Oryctolagus cuniculus: one gene and its partners. The protein of the gene in region 1 interacts with the protein of each later gene in a biochemical or structural test. Links are inferred from orthologs where the notes say so. Each region holds a gene or a part of one and is shown on either strand. Other genes may lie near its edges.

The links.
Region 2: the proteins of MAPK9 (region 1) and JUNB form a complex in vitro, tested with the Homo sapiens proteins (2 studies listed by BioGRID). The link is inferred for Oryctolagus cuniculus from reciprocal best matches to the Homo sapiens genes MAPK9 and JUNB.
Region 3: of the proteins of MAPK9 (region 1) and ELK1, one has a biochemical effect on the other in vitro, tested with the Homo sapiens proteins (2 studies listed by BioGRID). The link is inferred for Oryctolagus cuniculus from reciprocal best matches to the Homo sapiens genes MAPK9 and ELK1.
Region 4: of the proteins of MAPK9 (region 1) and ATF2, one has a biochemical effect on the other in vitro, tested with the Homo sapiens proteins (4 studies listed by BioGRID and IntAct, with this or other methods). The link is inferred for Oryctolagus cuniculus from reciprocal best matches to the Homo sapiens genes MAPK9 and ATF2.
Region 5: the proteins of MAPK9 (region 1) and MAPK8IP3 form a complex in vitro, tested with the Homo sapiens proteins (2 studies listed by BioGRID). The link is inferred for Oryctolagus cuniculus from reciprocal best matches to the Homo sapiens genes MAPK9 and MAPK8IP3.

The regions. Positions count from the first base shown.
Region 1 is NC_091437.1:67,263,357-67,266,870, forward strand, and holds part of MAPK9 (mitogen-activated protein kinase 9), read left to right. Parts: intron 1-965; coding exon 966-1,090; intron 1,091-2,188; coding exon 2,189-2,252; intron 2,253-3,392; coding exon 3,393-3,464; intron 3,465-3,514. UniProt on the Homo sapiens protein: Serine/threonine-protein kinase involved in various processes such as cell proliferation, differentiation, migration, transformation and programmed cell death.
Region 2 is NC_091447.1:62,308,230-62,312,135, reverse strand, and holds JUNB (transcription factor JunB), read right to left. Parts: upstream 2,513-3,906; 5' UTR 2,071-2,512; coding exon 1,006-2,070; 3' UTR 514-1,005; downstream 1-513. UniProt on the Homo sapiens protein: Transcription factor involved in regulating gene activity following the primary growth factor response. Binds to the DNA sequence 5'-TGA[GC]TCA-3'.
Region 3 is NC_091453.1:33,148,404-33,151,917, forward strand, and holds part of ELK1 (ETS domain-containing protein Elk-1), read right to left. Parts: intron 2,674-3,514; exon of another isoform or gene 2,644-2,673; 5' UTR 2,610-2,643; coding exon 2,400-2,609; intron 227-2,399; coding exon 1-226. UniProt on the Homo sapiens protein: Transcription factor that binds to purine-rich DNA sequences. Forms a ternary complex with SRF and the ETS and SRF motifs of the serum response element (SRE) on the promoter region of immediate early genes such as FOS and IER2.
Region 4 is NC_091434.1:66,033,604-66,037,117, forward strand, and holds part of ATF2 (cyclic AMP-dependent transcription factor ATF-2), read left to right. Parts: intron 1-540; coding exon 541-719; intron 720-1,624; coding exon 1,625-1,739; intron 1,740-3,514. UniProt on the Homo sapiens protein: Transcriptional activator which regulates the transcription of various genes, including those involved in anti-apoptosis, cell growth, and DNA damage response.
Region 5 is NC_091450.1:33,432,107-33,436,131, forward strand, and holds the start of MAPK8IP3 (C-Jun-amino-terminal kinase-interacting protein 3), read right to left. Parts: upstream 2,812-4,025; 5' UTR 2,635-2,811; coding exon 2,317-2,634; intron 1-2,316.

The DNA of each region.
Region 1 (3,514 bases):
ATGTTGGGAGGAGAAATAGTTGAAACCACAGAATACAGTCAGGTGCAGGCCAGACACCTGGTACATGAAAGCACTGTGGGGAGAGGGCTATAGATGCGGAAGTGTTGTCCTCCGTGTTCAGATCAACCTGAGAGGTTCTTAGGCCACAGTCCCAGCAACTGAAATTCAGAATGTCGTTGGATATAAAGAAAGCTGGAGTGAAGATTGCAGAGTCAGAATCCATGCTCGTTGTTCAGTAAAAAGACCTTTCCTGCCCTTCAGTGTCCTTCACTGAAATGTGATTGTTAAGGAAAACGGTCGATTTGTTTTCATCCGCATCGAGCTGCAGCCTTGCTTTGTCTGTACAAGTTGTGAACTTCATTCAGTTGCCAGAATCTAGCTGAGCCTGTGTTTTAGTTATTGAACTTGTTGGTTTTTCCCTAACTACTAATCTCTAAATTTAGGGGAAAAAAAATAAGTGAGTATTGCTAATATTGTATACAGCTAGGCCAAACAGAGGCATCTCTACAGTGTTTTATTTTGTGAGAGTATCAGACTCATGTGTGGTTTTAAAAGACCGTTCTAATTTCATTTTAATGTGACGGGAAAAAAATACTCATGCCCACACCCCTGGCAGTGCCGCCTGAGCTCTTACCCCGCGCCCCGCTCCCTGCCATGTGCTCTCAGCCGCGGGCCCCCTGCAGACACTGGCCCAAGGTGCCTCGGAGCCTCCTACTCCATCTTGGGACACAGATTTCTCCTCCCCTTCCTGGGTCAGAGGAATAAGAACACGTTGGAAAGCCTGGGTTTTTTGTTGTTTTTTGTGAAAGTGGCTGTTTGAGTTTTCCTTAAGGCTTTGGGCTCTGTTGATCTCTAACCTGTCACATCTCTTCAGCATTCATTTATCTTTGTTATGTGTGTGTAGTACACATTTACTTCTTCACTGGGTGTTTTCCTGAGTTCACCAGTCTTTGTTTTCACCCTAGCGAGTCAAGCCAGGGATCTGTTATCAAAAATGTTGGTGATCGACCCCGACAAGCGGATCTCTGTGGACGAGGCTCTGCGCCACCCGTACATCACTGTCTGGTACGATCCTGCCGAGGCAGAGGCGGTGAGTGCTGATGCTGAGAAGGCAGATGCAGGGCTTCCCCCTGGTTGGCCCAGAATGGCCACGCAGGAGCAAACAGGTGCTGGGTTTAAGGCTCCTGACTGCACAAGGGCCAAGCGTTGTTTGAGACCTGGTCAGGAGCAGTTTGGGGCAGTTGCTGCTGGGGCTGCAGCTTAGAGCATGAACAAGCTTACGTGGAGACAACTGTCTTCACTTACACAAATGCCAACACGCGGCACTTGACACCGAGCGTGTGTCCTAAGAAGCCTGTCGTTGGGCAGTGCGCTGTTGCGTGGGCACTAACAAAACCACGGTGTCACCAGGCAACATATTCTATGGGAGCACCGTTGCAGGCGTCGTCGGGTGTTGGCCAAATCTGTCCCTTGTTCTGTGTCCCTTCGGTGCCTGGCCTCAGATTAAGTCCTCTTCCTCAGGCTCCTCCTCAGAGAGGCTGAGTAGTTTGCTGGAGAGCACACTGACCCAGCCCAAGGGCATCCGTGCCTCCCATGGCCACGCTGGGCTGAATGACCTCGAGCTGCCGGTGAACGATGCCCTAGCAGCGTTCTCAGTCCGTGCTGGCAGGTCTGCAGTGTTGGCTTGTGGATTCCAGCACCAACTTCAACATTGTTGGTGTGAAAAGCATCTGACTTAGAAGCAGGTGTTTGCAATAGCGCATCTGTGAGTTAGGTATTGGGATTGGGAGTTCTACCATGAGGAAACAAAATGTATTCCAAGAAAGTACCACCCCTTCCATAGCTCCCAACACAAGGCCTTGTCTGGGGAGCTCCAGGGAGCAGCCTGTGATTATCATTTTATAACTGTGTCTGAGAAGATGTCATTAGAATATCCTGAGGTCCTGCGATTATTAAGAGGATTATTATTAATAGCTCAATTTCTGGTTAATTCTTCCTTAACCATTTTGATTCTGAAACTGATGTAAAATTATATACTGATATATATATATTGAAATATATTCAAATATATATTGAAATTGATATAAAATCTTTAATGAACCATTTGTTAATGAAAAGAAATTCATATCACTCTGCCAAATGTCTCACCTTTTTTTGAAGTTGACTTTACATGTAATCTGGTTTTTAGCCACCACCTCAGATTTACGATGCCCAATTGGAAGAAAGAGAACATGCAATTGAGGAGTGGAAAGGTAAATCCTGACTTGCCGTGCCCCCGGGGTCGGGGGAGGGGGCTTTCCCTTTGCTAGCAGCCCTTTGGGAAGGACCAGAGACCCCAGCCCACTCACCTCTTTCTAACCGAGGGAGAGAGGAACATGTGTGGCCTTGTACTGCTTGTTTCAAGGATGAAGGATGAGGGCTTCTTCACCTGACTTTAAATTCCCAGATGTTGCTTTGTAAACTGAACCCCATTGATGGTCTCACTGATGATGTGTCAGGTTGTAAGGCAGCCCCGGTTCACATAAGCAGACATGGGAACTCTGCTGGTGTGTTTAAGCCATACAGTTGCACATAACAGTACAAAATCTAGTTGCAGATCAAAAATATGCAAGTAGATATTATTATCACCTGAGATTAACCAGGCACCCCACCACCACCACAACCTAGACAGCAGTGTGGAGGCTGACTGACAAGTTCTCATTCAAAAGCAGGGTCCCTGGTTACTGAGAGCCCAGAGCCGGGGCCAGTGGGGGTCAACCCTGCTGGTGTGACACGGGGAGCCGGTTCCCTGTGCAGGCACCCTCGGCCTGCCGTTCCCATAGCCATACTCACAGGCCTCAGGAAATGCTACAGTGTGCCAATGTCAGTTCACATTACTGCCATTTTAGAAACCCCTAATAACTTACTTGGTAGGCAGTTAGTTCTTACGAGTGAAAGTTGAAAACTAAAGCTGAAGCCAAGAAAAGACTGAGGTGTACAGATTGATTTCTGGCCAAGCTACAGGGGCCATAGCCCACACGGGCCAGTGTCACTCGCAGAACCACTGTGACAGTGGAAAGAAGTCTGTGCATGCCACTGGGTAGAACATCCAGTCCTTTAAAACGTCGGTGAAAGCCACTCTTCTCTCCCTTTCTCCCCTGACTCCTTCCCCACCCCCTGTTGAACTCAGAATGGCCCTGTGTTTCTAGCTACCTTAATGGTTGTGTGGAGGAGTTGCGAGTGGATGTTTTGGCCTAGGCAGATTCTGTCACTGAATTGCCTGAGTGTCGCAGTTTAAAGCGCTCACCACGGAGCCCAGAGCCGGGGGGGGGGGGGGGGGGGGGGGCGGTGATTTGAAGCAGAGCTCAGCCAGCAGAGACACTGAGGCATTTCACCTGCATCTCTGTTTGAAGAGCTAATTTACAAAGAAGTAATGGACTGGGAAGAAAGAAGCAAGAATGGTGTTGTGAAAGATCAGCCTTCAGGTTAGTGATTGCTCTGACCGCTCGCAGGCCGGCGCGCTGTCTCCTTTGCC
Region 2 (3,906 bases), on another chromosome or scaffold:
GCCGCCCGCCCGGGGAAAATCCCAGCCCCCTTCCCGGCGCCGCGGCCCTGCCCGGCAGCGCGGGGGGGAGGGGATTCCCGGAATCTGCCCGGAGACCGCCGTCGCGTCACTGGGCCGAATCGGCCCATATATGGGCAGCGCTTCCGCTGCGTCAGCGGGGAAAGCCCCGGCGCGCGCGCGGCGGGGCGGTGCCGCGCCTGCGCACTGCGGCGCGCCGCTCGGGGCAGCCTGCCCCTCCCGGCTGCAGGGCCGGCTGGGCAGTGTCTCGTGCGCGCGCTGCGCTGGGATGGAAACCGTCCAGCCTCGGAGACTCTGGGGATGAGGCCGCGAGACCGGGGTGCACGGGCTGGAGGGGTCGATGGATGCCAGAGGGGACGCATAGAGGAACCAGCAGAAGCACTAGCGGGGTGCGGTGGGGTGGGGGTGGGGGGAGAAGCACCGGGCTGCTCCTCTTCCCTCCTCCCACCCGGCTTGGAAAAACAAAACAAAACAAAACAAAAAGGACAACAGAGATTAATAAAGAACCATTTTTTTTACTTAAATAGATTCAATAAAAAGTCAGAACAAACGCGCGCACGCACACACACATACACACACACAAAAACATCTTAAAATAAACTTTTTTTTTCTTAAGAGACCAAGTGCGTGTTTCTTCTCCACAGTACGGTGCAGAGCGGGGGAGGGTAGGGGGCGGGGGTCCCCTCTCCCAGTGTCCCCGCGCGGGTTTTGAGTACCGGGGCGGCGGGGCCAGCTCCGCCGCCATCGCCCCCTCCTCCTCCCCTCCCCTCCCTGTTAAATATACACAAATATATTATATTCAATATGAATCGAGTCTGTTTCCTGCAGAAAAAAAATAGACATACAAAAAAAAAAAAAAAAAACGTGGAAAGAAAAGCTTGTAAACGTTCAACGTGGAGGGACCGGGCGCAGAGCGGAGTCCAGTGTGGCTGGCGGCGTCCCGGGCGCGCGCCCACCGCCCACGCCCCCAGCAGTCCAGGTCGGTGCTCAGAAGGCGTGTCCCTTGACCCCGAGCAGGAGCTGGCAGCCGTTGCTGACGTGGGTCATGACCTTCTGCTTGAGCTGGGCTACCTGCTCGCGGAGGAGCCCGGCGGTGCTGGACAAGCCCGCGTTCTCCGCCTTGAGGGTCTTCACCTTGTCCTCCAGACGCGCGATGCGCTCCAGTTTCCGCTTCCGGCACTTGGTGGCCGCCAGCCGGTTCCGCAGCCGCTTGCGCTCCACTTTGATGCGCTCCTGGTCTTCCATGTTAATGGGGGACACGGGCGGCGTGGCGTCTCGGCTGCGCGCCTCGGGCACGGTCTGCGGTTCCTCCTTGAAGGCCGAGGCGCCGCGGCCCAAGCCCAGCTGCGCGGGGTGGCCGCCCGCGAAGGGCGGCGCGTGCGGGAGGTAGCTGATGGTGGCCGTCGGGTACGAGCTCCCGGTGCCCACGGCGGCGGCGGCGGCGGCGGCGGCTCCGGCGCCTCCGGAGGTCGCAGAGGCCGGGGAGTAGCTGCTGAGGTTGGTGTAGACGGGGGGCGGCTCGGGGCCCGCGTAGACGCCCCCGGGCCCGGCCGGGGGTCCCCCGCTGGCGCCCAGGGACACGTTGGGGGGCGTCACGTGGTTCATCTTGTGCAGGTCGTCCAGCGCTTTGACGAAGCCGTCGGCGAAGCCCTCCTGCTCCTCCGTGACGCCGCCCCCTGCGCCCCCGGCGGCACCTCCGGCGCTGCCACCCCCGCGGGGGTAGAAGTACTGTCCCGGGGGCGTGGGCGTCGTCGTAATCACGCCGTTGCTGTTGGGGACGATCAGGCGCTCCAGCTCCGAGGAGGCGATCTTGAGTGACGCGCCTGTGTCTGAGCCCTGGCCGGGGAAGTAGCTGCCGGCTCCGCTGCCCTCGGGGCCGGGGCCCCGCGCCCCGGGCGCTTTGAGACTGCGGTAGGGGTCTGTCAGGTTGAGCGCCAGGCTGGGTTTCAGGAGTTTGTAGTCGTGTAGAGAGAGGCCGCCGGGGGCCCGGCCGTATCCCGCCGCTGCGTACGAGTCGTCGTGGTAGAAGGGCTGTTCCATTTTAGTGCACATCCGGGCGGCCCAGGCGGTCTCCGCGGAGGGGAAGGGCGGCGGCGGGGGAGGGGGCGTCCCGGCGGGACCGCCCCGGGCCTCGCTGCGGCCGAGCGACGCGGTGGCCGGGTGGCGCGCGGTTGTCTGTCCGGTCGCGCGTTCCTGGCGGGGAGCTGGCAACGGGCCGGTGGCGGGCGGGGAGGCGACCCCCGCGGGCAGCTGCGCGCCTCCAGCCGCGTCCGGCTTCCCGAGCGCGCTCCTCGCCCTCTTCTGCTGGCCGCCTTCGCTTTTCTCTCGGTGTCGCTGCCTTTCCCCGCACGCCCCCCCCAACACACCACCCCGCGCCGGCCCGGCTCTGGCTCTCCCGCTTTGCCAACCGGCTCCCCCCCCCTGCCCAGTGTCTCTTCGCCGACTGCTCCGAGGCTGCTGGCCTGGCCGCCCTCAAGGTCCCAGGCGCTCAGCCCGAGCCGCACGCATTTTATACGGCGCTATTCAGCTGCGGAAGTGCGCGCCGATTGGCCGGCGCCGGAGCCGGGCCCCCGCGCCCCCTCCCTCCCCGGAGCGTGGGGAAGGGGAGGAGGCGGCTGGCGTCACTGTCAGGAAGCGCGCGTGTCCTTGTAAACAGCGGCCACGGGGCCTGGCGGCTCGGCGCGGCTGCAGGGGGAGGGGCCCCAGGGACCCCCTTCCCCCAACCTGGGTACGCCTGGAAGGGAGCTTGTGGTCTTGGGGAGAGGGGGAACGCACCTAGACTTGTAACCGGGGCTGGGGGTGGGGGTGGGGGTGGGTGGAAGAAGACCCTGCGGGAGAGTGACGATTCCCCGGGGTGGATATGCAGACCTGCTGCTGAGCAAAGGGGGTAGGGGGTGGGGGTCCTCAGGATGCAAATGGAAAGGTGGGAGGACCCCACACCACACTGGGAGACCCCCCTCTCCTCCAAGAGTGGGGAAGGGGAGGGTTCAGCCGAGTTATTGGGCAGGGTCGGAGCAAGTGTGTGTGTGTGTGTGTGTGTGTGTGTGCGCGCGCGCGCGCACGCGCGTACAAAGAGACCCCTGACTCAGGAATTGACTGAGGGGTGTCTTGGGCCCAGAGAGGTTGAGATACTGGGATGTTTTTTCGGGGGGGGGGCTGAGGAACAGGAGAAGAGTTCACAAGGGGTCAAGGGGCGGGACTGCATGGACCTATTATGCAAGAAATGAGTAGGGGGTCTCAGAAACGGAGGGCTTCCGCCCCCACCACTACTACCCGGGTTAAGTGGGAATGAGAAGGAATTGGGGACGAATCTATGATATGCAGCAAGTGAACAAAGATCCTGGGGTACCCGGACTCTGGGTGCAAGACGTGGCGTAGGAGATGGCGACATTTTTAGCAGAGGTTTGAGGATCACTGAAGTCACCCGCGAAATCCTGATGGAGTTGGAAGGGTCGGCGCGCCCGATGGGAGCTGAAGGGACAATGACAGGAGGGTACCCGGCTGAGACGCGCCAGGAGGAGGGGGCTTTGTGCATCCCGGGGAGGGGTCTTTCCCCTGGTGGGTGACCCCCCAGCAGGCACCTGTATACTCCGTCGCCCGTCCGAGAACCCCTCCCCTAGTCACACTGGGCTTGCCAGCTTCTGGAGTCTGGACCCAGCCCGACGGCCCCGGGCGCGGTCGCCCAACCCCACTCCCTTCCTTAGAAGCAGGCTGGGGAAAGAACGCCTAGGCAGGAAGTGTGGCAACAGCCCCGGGGGATGGAGCCCGGCCCTGTCTCCGTCACTCCGCTCCTACGGGACCGTGCGCCCCGCCCTGGGTCCCGGCCTTCTGCGCCTTTGCGAGAGGAACCTGGACGTGCGCGACCTCCACAGAGGCCTGGGTGCGCAG
Region 3 (3,514 bases), on another chromosome or scaffold:
CCAAACCACCTGGGCCTGCCATCCCTGCACCCTTGGGTGTGCCTGGCTTTCCACAGGCGGTGTCCCCAGGGGTGGCATGTACAGCAGCAGGGGCCACATTTGCCACGGCAGAGGCAACAGACACCTCAGGCTGGGACGGGCAGTCTTCGGTGGAGCACCCTGCGACCTCGGGATAGGACACGAACTTGTAGACAAACTTCTGGCCGCTCACCTTGCGGATGATATTCTGGGAAGAGACAAGACAGAACAGAGGGCCTTAAAGGTCAAGGGCGGGGGGAGGGACGGTGTGGCCGGGAGAAGAGAGGCTGGAGGGGCTGTCTTCCTCCTAGCACCTTTCTTCCTACCTGCCCCTATTTCACCCATCTCAATCGCCTGTCAGTATCTGCATCCCTTCCTTCCCCCTCCCCGGATCCGTCTCTGTATTCCTCCTGTTTCTCCCTTCGACAATGCTTTCTTTAATCTCCTCCCCATCCATCTCCCTCCCTCTTCATCTCCATCTGTCTGGTTTCCCAAGCTGTGCCAGCTCCTGTTCACAATGGAACCCCTCTAGGGGAGTATAGGTGCAGGGGTGTCTGCAGGTTAACAAGTTCAGGCCTATGGGGTGGCTGCTAGGACACAGACTTGGAGACTAGCTAATGCAATATAACAGCAAAATGAAGTGAGTGCTGTAAATGTTGGAAGAGATGAAATTAATGCAGATGAGTGGGATGACAAATTACCAATATAGATTATTTAATGCTATTAACATAGAAGTGGAACAGGCCGAGGTCCATTACAGAGGACAGGGTAAGGAGGCCTCATTAATACTACCTGTGGGGGCAGGGGTTCAGTGGAGCAGCTTAGAAACTGGTTGGGATGCCCACATCCCATATAGCGGTACCCTGGTTCAAGTCCCAGCTCTGTTCCCAATTCTAGTTTCTTGCTAATGTGCAACCTGGGAGGCAGTGGATGATGGCTCAAGTAGTTGGCTTTCTACCACTCATGTGGAAGACAAGGACTGAATTCCTAGCTCTCAGCTTCAGTCTGGCCTGGTCCCAGCTGTTGTAGGCATTTGGAGAGTGAACCAGTGGATAGGAGCCCTCTCACTCACTCGCTCGCTCTCTGCCTCTCAAATAAGTAAAAAAACAAAAACAAAACCAAAAAGACTGTTGTGGAGTTGTGGAGGTTTAAACCAAAAGGGCAACAAAATGAAGTAACTGACAATTAGGAAAGAACAATAAAATACTGGTATAAATATTGGGGGAGGGGCAAGTATGTTTGAGGTATTTCAGGACAGGTCCGGTCTGGAGAGTTTCAGGGACGTTCTGGGGTCTCTTAGGCTACAGTGAGGTAGCCCCACTGTTTTGGAGATCTGGGTTAAAGGAATAAACTAGGAAAGTGGGATAAATGCTTCCAGTGACTAAAGGGTGTGACACAGGTCTGTGGCTGTTCCGGGAGCAAGAGGAGTCTGGGGGTACTAGGCAGTCTTTTTCTGATTAAAGATTTATTTATTTATGTGAAAGGCAGAATTAGGGAGAAGAGAGAGAGACAGACAGACGCGTTCCATCTATTGGTTCACTCCCACAAATAGCTGCAAAAGCAGGACTGGGCTAGGCCAAAGCCAAGAGCCTGGAATTCCGATGTGGTGCCACGTGGCTGGCAGGGGCCCAGGTGCTTGGGCCATCTTCCGCTGCTTTCCTGGGTGCATTAGCAGGGAGCTGGTTTGGAAGTGGAGCAGCGCCCATATGAGATGCCAGCATCGCAGGCAGTGGCTCAGTTTGCTGTGCCACAACGTGGGCCCCCTGGTGAGGTCTTTGTGCTGATCAGGCATGTCACGGGGTGGGCTTGTGTTTCTCAGAAGAGGAATGAAAAAGAGTATTAGTTTACACTGTTTCAAAGGCTTCTTCTAAATAAGAAAATGAGATGCATGTTATAAATATTAAGGAGAGAAGAAAAGTAGTGCAGCTCAGAGGGTCTGATAGGATGCAGAAAATTTAAAATTCCAGCTATGACAATAAGATGATGAAATAAAACAGTTGATACGGATATTGGAGCAGACCAGTGTTGCTTTGGGAATCCAAAAGGATGGTGTGTGGCGCTGACTTTACATATGCTGCTTCAGAGACTTCAGTGAAAGAAAATAAAAAGTATGAGGGTCCCAGAGAACAAAGTAAGAAAGGTTAGCATAATATTTTCAGGGAGGTTTTGATTCCAGGAATTAGAATAGAAAATATTTTAGAGTAAGAGAAGATTATAAAGCTTTTAACCAAAGCAGTAAAACAAGAAAATAAAATGAGATTAAGTTAGTCTGAAGGTCCCAGAGAAAGGGTTAAGAAATAATACATTTTAATATGATGTTCAGTTATACCATAAGTTAGACAAGAGAATGACACTTGTGACCTCAATGTCAGAGGCCTTACCTTGTCATAGTAGTACCGCAAGGCCCGGCTGAGCTTGTCATAATTCATGTTGGTCTTGTTCTTGCGCAGCCCCCACAGCCGGGCTACCTCCTCTGCATCCACCAGCTTGAACTCACCACCATCCCGTGAGGTCCAGGAGATGATGTGGCCATTGCCTTGCTCTCTCAGCAGCTGCAGCAGAAACTGCCACAGCGTCACAGATGGGTCCATCGCTGGGGCAACACTCACGCCATCCCAGGGATACCTGGAGGGCAGAGAGCTCAGAGCTGAGAAGCTGGGGACACAGGAGGAGGCAGAGATGAAAAGGAGGATTCCTTTCTTGTCATCTTGTCCCTACCGCTGTCTCCAAACGCCACTATCTTTCCCCTAAGCACCATCAGATTAACTTTTAAACATCTCCGTCTAGTTTTGGTTGTCTCCTGTAATGGGCCAAGATTTATGGTGGCTCTTAGGATGGTGTGAATGTTTTGCACGTAGCAGAACGTGGTAGGCAGAAAAATGCTACCTCCGATTCAAAGAAGTCCACATCCTAATTCCAGAACCTGTGACTGTTATGCTATATAGCAAAGAGGAACTGTGCAGATGGAATAAGATTACAGACTCTAAGATTATTCTGTTGTTTTTTTTTAAAGTGAGCTTTTAAATACAGAAGAGGGGGGGCTGGCACTATGGCACAGAGGGTAAAGCTGCTGCCTGCAGTGCTGGCATCTCATAAAGGCACTGGTTCAAGTCCTGGCTGCTCTTCTTCTGATCCAGCTCTCTGCTACGGCCTGAGATAGCAGTAGAAGATGGCCCAAGTGTTTGGGCCCCTGCACCCGCATGGGAGACGTGGAAGAATCTCCTGGCTCCTGGCTTTGGATAGGCTCAGCTCTGGCCATTGTGGCTGTTTGGGGAGTGAACCAGCGGATGGAAGCCTCTGCCTCTCTCTCTCTCTCTCTCTCTCTCTCTGCCTCTCTGTAACTCTGCCTTTCAAATAAATCAATCAATCTTAAAGTCAGAAAGGGCCCTCAGCGGGCAGCCACTAAGGAAATAAGGATCTTGGTCCTGCAACCTCAAAGAGTTGAATTCTGCCAACAACCCCAATAAGCTGGAGACGGATTCTCCCCCTAGAGCCT
Region 4 (3,514 bases), on another chromosome or scaffold:
TTATTTTGTATTCAAGGTATCAGTATTACTTGGCCTTTTGTTATTGAAGTTTTTGATATAGGAAAGATGGCCTAAGATTAGTTAATAGTTTAACATTTCCATTGTTGAATTTGTATTAATCATAGCGAAATTTCTCTGGACCTGTTTTCTTTTTGTACAGTAAAATGAGGAAGTAGACTTAGGTGTTCCCTTATAGATTTTAAAGTTTTCTAATTCTTGAGAGTGGATCGTGTTTTTACTTTTTTACTAAAATTCTCTTGGAATTATAGCCAAATTGTCCAACCTGACTTACTTCTGAATTGACATGAAAATAAGTTTTACTGAAAAAAACGCTGAGGTTTTTAAAAATTAATTGAACATTGCCTGTGAACCTTTACAACTACTTCTAAAATTTCTTTTTAGTTCACTTGAGATACTAATTTGAGAGGTTAAGCATTACCCTATGAATGTGTTTGCAAGTGTGTTATGTTCTGTTCACTAAGGTACATGCATTAATTGCATTTTAAATTCTACGCTTTTTGTTATGTCTTTATTAAATAGGAGGTACCATTGGCACAAACTGCACAGCCCACATCAGCTATTGTTCGTCCAGCATCATTACAGGTTCCCAATGTGCTGCTTACAAGTTCTGATTCAAGTGTAATTATTCAGCAGGCAGTACCTTCACCAACCTCAAGTACTGTAATCACCCAGGCACCATCCTCCAATAGGCCAATTGTGTAAGTGATTAAGCCCAGTCATTGAACTGTGTATGAATTAAGTTTTTCTTGTTACGATTTTTCCTAAGATAGCTGATTTAAGATGATTTTTTATATTTTCATGCTCTTTAAGGCAAAACATATAAAATTATTCTATTACCAGATGACACTTCTTTCAGTTCTTAAATGCAGCTAGTTCTCAGGGCCCACCAGCATTGTGATATAGCAGGTTAAACTGCCACTTAGGATGCCAGCATCCCGTATTACAGTTTGAGTCCCAAATACTCCACTTCCCATCCAGCTTTGTTGCCTAGGAAGGCAACAAAAGATGGCCCAAGTGCTTGGGCCCCTGCCACCCATGTGGGAGTATCTGGATGGCATTCCTGACTCCGGCTTTGGCCTAGCCCAGCCCTGGCTGCTGTGGCCATTTGGAGAGTTAGCCGATGGATAATGGTCTGGGGACTGGCATTGTACCCTCGCAGATAAAGCTGCTGCCTGTAGCACCAGCATCCCATATAGGTGCCAGTTAAAGTTCTGGCTGCTTCACTTCCAGTCTAGCTCCCTGCTAATGGCCTGAGAAAGCAGTGGGAAGATGGCCCAAATCCTTGGACCCCTGCACCCATGTGAGAGACCTGGAGGAAGCTTCTGGCTCCTGGATTTGGTCTTGCCCAGCTATGGCTGTTGTGGCCATCTGGGTGGAGAGTAGGCCAGCAGATGGAAAATCTCTGTCTCTCCCTGACTCTCTGCGTAACTCTTTCAAATAAAATAAATCTTTAAAAAACATATTTAAAGATAATTTTATTTCTGAAGTTTACAGTGCTTAAGAAATTTATTAATATTGTAATAATAGAAGTAAAAATACTATTGTATTTTTAAGTGATGGTTTCTTTGAATCTGTTTAATTTCATTTCTTTTGTTCTTCATAGTCCTGTGCCAGGCCCATTTCCTCTTCTATTGCATCTTCCGAATGGACAAACCATGCCTGTTGCTATTCCTGCATCAATTACAAGTTCTAATGTACATGTTCCAGCTGCAGTCCCAGTAAGTTACAAATTTAGACTATAGTAGATCTGGTCTGTATAAAGTAATCAGAAAATAGAGTTGAAGCTGCTGGACTGACTTATGAAAACTGAATTTAAGAAAGTACATAATAGTGGTAAGTAGTGTTTATTCATTGATATTTATGGTAATAACATCTACCATTCAGTGCAAACATAATTAAATAAACTATTTTCCTCTCCCAACAATCTTGTTTTCCTTACTTTTTACACTATGAACTTTATTCCTTATTTACCCCATTTCTATTTGACTGAATTTGTAAAATTCAAATAGTACTAGAACACTTGTCAGGTAACTTTGGTATTTCAGTTAATTTAGAAATTCTTTATAAAAACACAATCTTTGATCTTTGATGGTCAAGTTCAGTTAACAGATTTACTTTGATGGCCCATGCATTCTTAAGAACATTCTGAACATTTGCGGTACAGACGTTTGCAGTGGTTAAGATGCCAGAATGAATGTATTCAGGCCCCACTCCATTTCTAATAGCTTTCTGTTAATGTTCACTCTGAGAGGCAGCAGATGATGGCTCAAGTACTTGGGTCCCTGTCACCCATGTGGAAGACCCAAATAGAGTACTTAGGCTCCTGGCTTTGGTCTGGCCCAGAGCTGGCTGTTGTGTGCATTTGGTGATGAACCATCAAGATGAAAGATCTGTTTCTGTTTTTCTGTCACTCTGCCTTTAAAATAAATAAAACAAATAAATTTTAGCATTCTAAAGTAATAAGTCTCCCATTTTCTTAATGAGAAGATCCAAAAGAAAAGTTTTGTAAGGGCAAGTCAAATATATATAAAATTTGAAAGACATAGACAATTAAATATCTAGTTATTGTATTTTTTTGTTTTTAGATTTTATTTTTTTATTTGAGAGGTAGAGTTACAGTGAGAAGGAGAGACAGAAAGGTCTTTCTTGTGCCAGTTCACTCCCTAAATGGCATCAATGGCCGGAGCTGCATCGATCCGAAGCCAGGAGCCAGGAGCTTCTTCTGAATCTCCCACATGGGTGCAAGGGCCCAAGGATTTGGACCATCTTCCACTGCTATCCCAGGCCATAGCAGAAAACTGGATTGAAAGAGGAACAGCCGGGACTAGAACCAGCACTCATATGGGATGCCTGTGCTGCAGGCAGAAGATTAACCTACTGTGCCACAGTGCCAACCCCTAGTTATAGTACTTAGTAGATTATAAAATATTTAAAAACACATTGTTTAGGACAGGCATTTGGCTTAGTAGTTAAGGTACCACTTGAGATGCCTACATACAGAATCAGAGTAACTAGGTTCAAGTCCCAGCTCTGCTGCCAATTCCAGCTTCCTGATGATGCACATTCTGGGAGGCAGCAGGTGATGGTTCAACTAGTTGGGTCCCTGCAACCCATATGGGAGCCCAGTGGAGTTCCTGGCTCCTGACTTTAGCCTGGCCCAATCTTGGTTATGGCAGGCATTTGAAGAGTGAACCAGAGGATGACAGATCTCTCTGTCTCCTTCCCTCTCTCTCTGACTTCTGCCTTTCAAATAAATAAATAAATAACATTGGTTAGAATAATAAAAATGAGAAATATGCCTTTTTTCCCAACTTTCACATGTGAATTCATGAAAACAGTTTTATTCAAACTTTTCAAAGGTGTCTTTCAGCATTTCAGATTTTCATCTGAGAACCGCTTTTTGACCCATCTAGCACAGTTTTCCAGAACACAGTTTACTTCTTCATCTAAATTATTTATGACATGACAGCTTTTAATCTTTGTATTATTCTCT
Region 5 (4,025 bases), on another chromosome or scaffold:
CCGTAGCCTGCGTGCCACTCCCGGGAAAGGGCTCTGGGCTCCTGGCCGGCCGCCGGGTGATGCAGCAAAGCAGGCCCGCTCACCGGCCCGAGCTCCCCCTCCTCCAAGGGAAGGAGCTTGAGGCACTCACACTGGGCCACAGGACCTGCTCTGCCCCGCGGGGGCTGGCGATGCCCGGGCTCGCCGTGAGCCCCCAGGGGCTCTGCCCTGACTGCCACACCGTCTCAGCACAGTCCTCCACGTGCCACATCCGGAACCCACCCGCTTCCCCAAGCAGCCGCGGCGGCCCAGAGAGGAGACGAGGCTGGGTGCAGGGGCCTCTCCCGGGACCCCACCATCTCCAGCCACTGTCACCCCAGGGCTCCAGCCGCCAGGACGCGCCCAGAACCTCCCAGGGTGCTGGCTGTGAGGCAGGGGACGGCTGCTCTCTTGGGTCAAGGCCTTCGGGAGACCCCTGCCGCTCTGTCGGCTCAGGTTCCCGACTCTGACTAAGCCTTCTTGGCCGGCGGCTGGGCCGGGCCTCGGCCGACAGCTCAGCCAACTCTGCACCACACCACGCCTGCACCGGTGACCTCCAGCCCTTGTGTTATCACACACCTCCGTGATCAGAGGCCTTTCCCGCAGACCCCTGCTTGCGGTGACAAGGGAGCCGGGATGCTGCGTGTACGGCATCAGCCCCGTCCTCACCAGGGCCTCCTGGTGCCATCACGGCTGGCCGGCCACCCACCCTTTCCCACAGCCCTCCGCAGCTTCTCCAACAGCTGGGGCAGCGGCGGGTGAGCCGGCCTGCACACCACACGCACACCCAGCGGCTCTCAGTCCCCAGAGCACTGGCGGGAGGGTGGACGCGTCCATCCTGGCGGCTCCATCCCAGCCCGGAGCTGCCCTCTGACCCCCTGCAGCGCGGGAAGGTGCGTCCTGGCCTGGTGCCCAGGGCTGTGCATGTGACCTTGGGCAGCCCCCCACTTCTTGGGGCCAGCTGCTCCCCTGCGAAGCACCCCAGATCTCCGTAAGCTCTCACACTCCAGCTCTGGCAACCCTGACGTGGAGAACGTCACACCAGCTTTGGTGGCGGCAACCAGACGGGAACCCGGGAAGCAAAGCCAACCAGAGCCGGCAGGGATGACGCCAGACAGGACACCGGCGCCTTTCACAAACACGCGTGACGCGAACCAGGCCATAAACCGCTGCGGCTTAGAGAAAAAGAAAAAAAAAGCCAAGACACTGGCACCGCCTCACGGCTGAGCACCGAAGCCAAGAACGCTAGGCCCAGTTAACCAGGAAGGAACCCGAACTCCTCTGCCCCCCCCCCCCCATCCACAAGCCCAAGAGAACCGCGGGACCTCCTCCCCGCAGTCTCTGGGCTCAGACCCACCCGGACAACTCGCTCCTCCGCCCGACGGGCAGGTGACCAGGGCCAAGGTCACGGGGAGGGAGCCCACGGCCCCCGCACCCCCTGCGCTGGGTCCGGCCGCCGCCGCGCTCGGCATCCCTGGCGCCCCCGGACCAGCGACTCCCGGTTAGGGACGCATCCAACGCCGCCGCCCCCCTCCCCCTCCCCCGTCCCCACAGGCTGCTCTGGGTCCTCGGGGGCCGGAGCCGGCGACCCCGGCCCCGCACCCCCTTCGCTCGGCCCTGGGACGGCCGCCGCCGACCCCGGCCCCGCACCCGTCGCGCTCGGCATCCCTGGCGAGGGGGTCAGGCTAAGCGATGCTCCCCGCGGCCCCGGACCGGCGACTCCCGGGCTAGGGCCGCCCCGGCCCCGGCCGCGCGCCCTCGCCCCGGCCCCGGCCCCGGCCCCGCGCCCCCGCCCCCGCCCCCGCCCCGGCCCCGGCCCCGGCCCCGGCCCCCGCCCCGGCCCAGCCGCGCGCACCTCCTCGCCCCCGGCCCCGGCCCCGGCCCCCGCCCCGGCCCGGCCGCGCGCACCTCCCCGCCCCGGCCCCGGCCCGGCCCGGCCGCGCGCACCTCCCCGCCCCGGCCCCGGCCCGGCCCGGCCGCGCGCACCTCCCCGGCCCCGGCCCCGGCCCCGGCCGCGCGCACCTCCCCGGCCCCGGCCCCGGCCCCGGCCCGGCCGCGCGCACCTCCCCGCCCCGGCCCCGGCCCGGCCCGGCCGCGCGCACCTCCCCGGCCCCGGCCCCGGCCCCGGCCGCGCGCACCTCCCCGGCCCCGGCCCCGGCCCCGGCCCGGCCGCGCGCACCTCCCCGGCCCCGGCCCGGCCCCGGCCCGGCCGCGCGCACCTCCCCGCCCCGGCCCCGGCCCCGGCCCGGCCGCGCGCACCTCCCCGCCCCGGCCCCGGCCCGGCCCGGCCGCGCGCACCTCCTCGGCCTGCTTGCGCAGCGCCTTCTCGCGCTCGTACTGCGTGAGCAGCTGCTCGTTGTCCTCGCGCAGCAGCTCCAGCTCCACCTCGTGCTCCTGGTTCTCGCTGAGCACCGAGTCCAGGTTCTCCAGCACGTTCACCACCAGCGGCATCAGCTCCTTGACCACCTCCTCGTCGTAGCAGTGGATGAGGCGCTCGAACTCGCGGTAGATGGAGCCCGCCAGGCCCGACACGCGCTCCGACATCACCGAGCCCGAGCAGTAGTCGTCCTGGTAGACCACCACGCCGCCGCCCTCGTCCATCGGGATCTCCATCATCGCGGCCACCGCCGCCGCCAGCGCGGCCCGCTGTCCGGCCGGCGCGCCCGGCCCGCCCTGGCTGCCCGGGGGTGCGCAGGCCGCGGCGTCGCCTCGGGCGCCGCCGCCGCTGAGGGGGAGGCTGAGGCGACTCTGCTGCCGCTGCCGCTGCCGCCGCTGCCGCCGCTGCCGCTGCCGCGCCCGTCACTCAGCCGCCGGAAGTCCCGCCCCCGCCGCGCCGCCGGGGGTCGCAGCGCCGTGACGTCAGCGGAAGCGGGCTCCGCGCCGGAAGCGCACCGGAGCCGGAAGGGCGGTTTGCGGCCGCGCCGGGCGGTGCGCGCGGACGGCGGCTTCCAGGCCGTAGCGGGTCGGGGGCTCCCGGGTGACCGCGCCCTCCGCTCGCCCGGGAAGCGGCCTGCGGCCCGCACCCCGGGCCGACCCCGGCGCGGCTCTTGTCGGCCGTGGGCACGTGTCGAGGCCACCTAGTGGGTTTCCAAGTATCCGCTTTTTGTTTCTCTGATCTCGTTCAAAACTGTCGGAAACGGGGTCGAGACGCGTCTGTTAAAAGCAGGGACTCCGTGCCCGGGAGGGGCGGGCGTCGAGGCGCGTCCAGCCCAGCCCGCGGGGTCGCGGGGGTCGCGGAGCCAGCCCCTGCCGGTGCGCCCGGGACCCGGCTGGGGCTCCTGGCTTCGGCCGGCCGCTGGGGGATGAACCAGCTGATGGGAGATCTTTGTCTGAAAGTGCCTTTTATGCAAGAAGTTTTTTCATCAACCATTTTTAAAAATTTTTTCAAAAGATTATTTGAAAGACTTGGAGACCGAGAGGGAGGCCTTCCAGCCCCCGTTCCCTGCCCCCAGGGCTGGGCTAGGCTGAAGGCTTTATCCGTCGCCCCGTCCTCTGTGCTTTCCCAGGCACGGGCTGGAGGTGGAGCCGCCAGGACAGGGACGCTGGCGCGGCCGGCGGTGGCGTCCTGAGCCCTGCCTTGATAGGTGCGCATCTCTTAGGTTTTCAGTTCTCTCCTTTTTTAATCTAAATCTGGTACCTGCAGCCTTCGGGGCGCGGCCCGCAGTCAGCCCCTGGAGGCCTGTGTGTGACCACACACCCAGACGTTGTGAACCCAGGACTTCACTTACATTAGGGACGGCTTAGAGTCGGCCCCGAGCCTCTCATCCTGACCTGCACCACGGCCGCCCTGGAGCCGATCCCTCCCCGTCACCCAGCGGGCTGCGCGCCCCGGGCTGAAGTCCCGCGTCAGGCGGCCTGGGCTCTGCGCGCCCCGGGCTGAAGTCCCGCGTCAGGCGGCCTGGGCTCTGCGCGCCCCGCGTCAGGCGGCCTGGGCTCTGCGCGCCCCGGGTTGAAGTCCCGCGTCTGGCGGCCTGGGCTCTGCGCGCCCCGGGCTGAAGTCCCGCGTC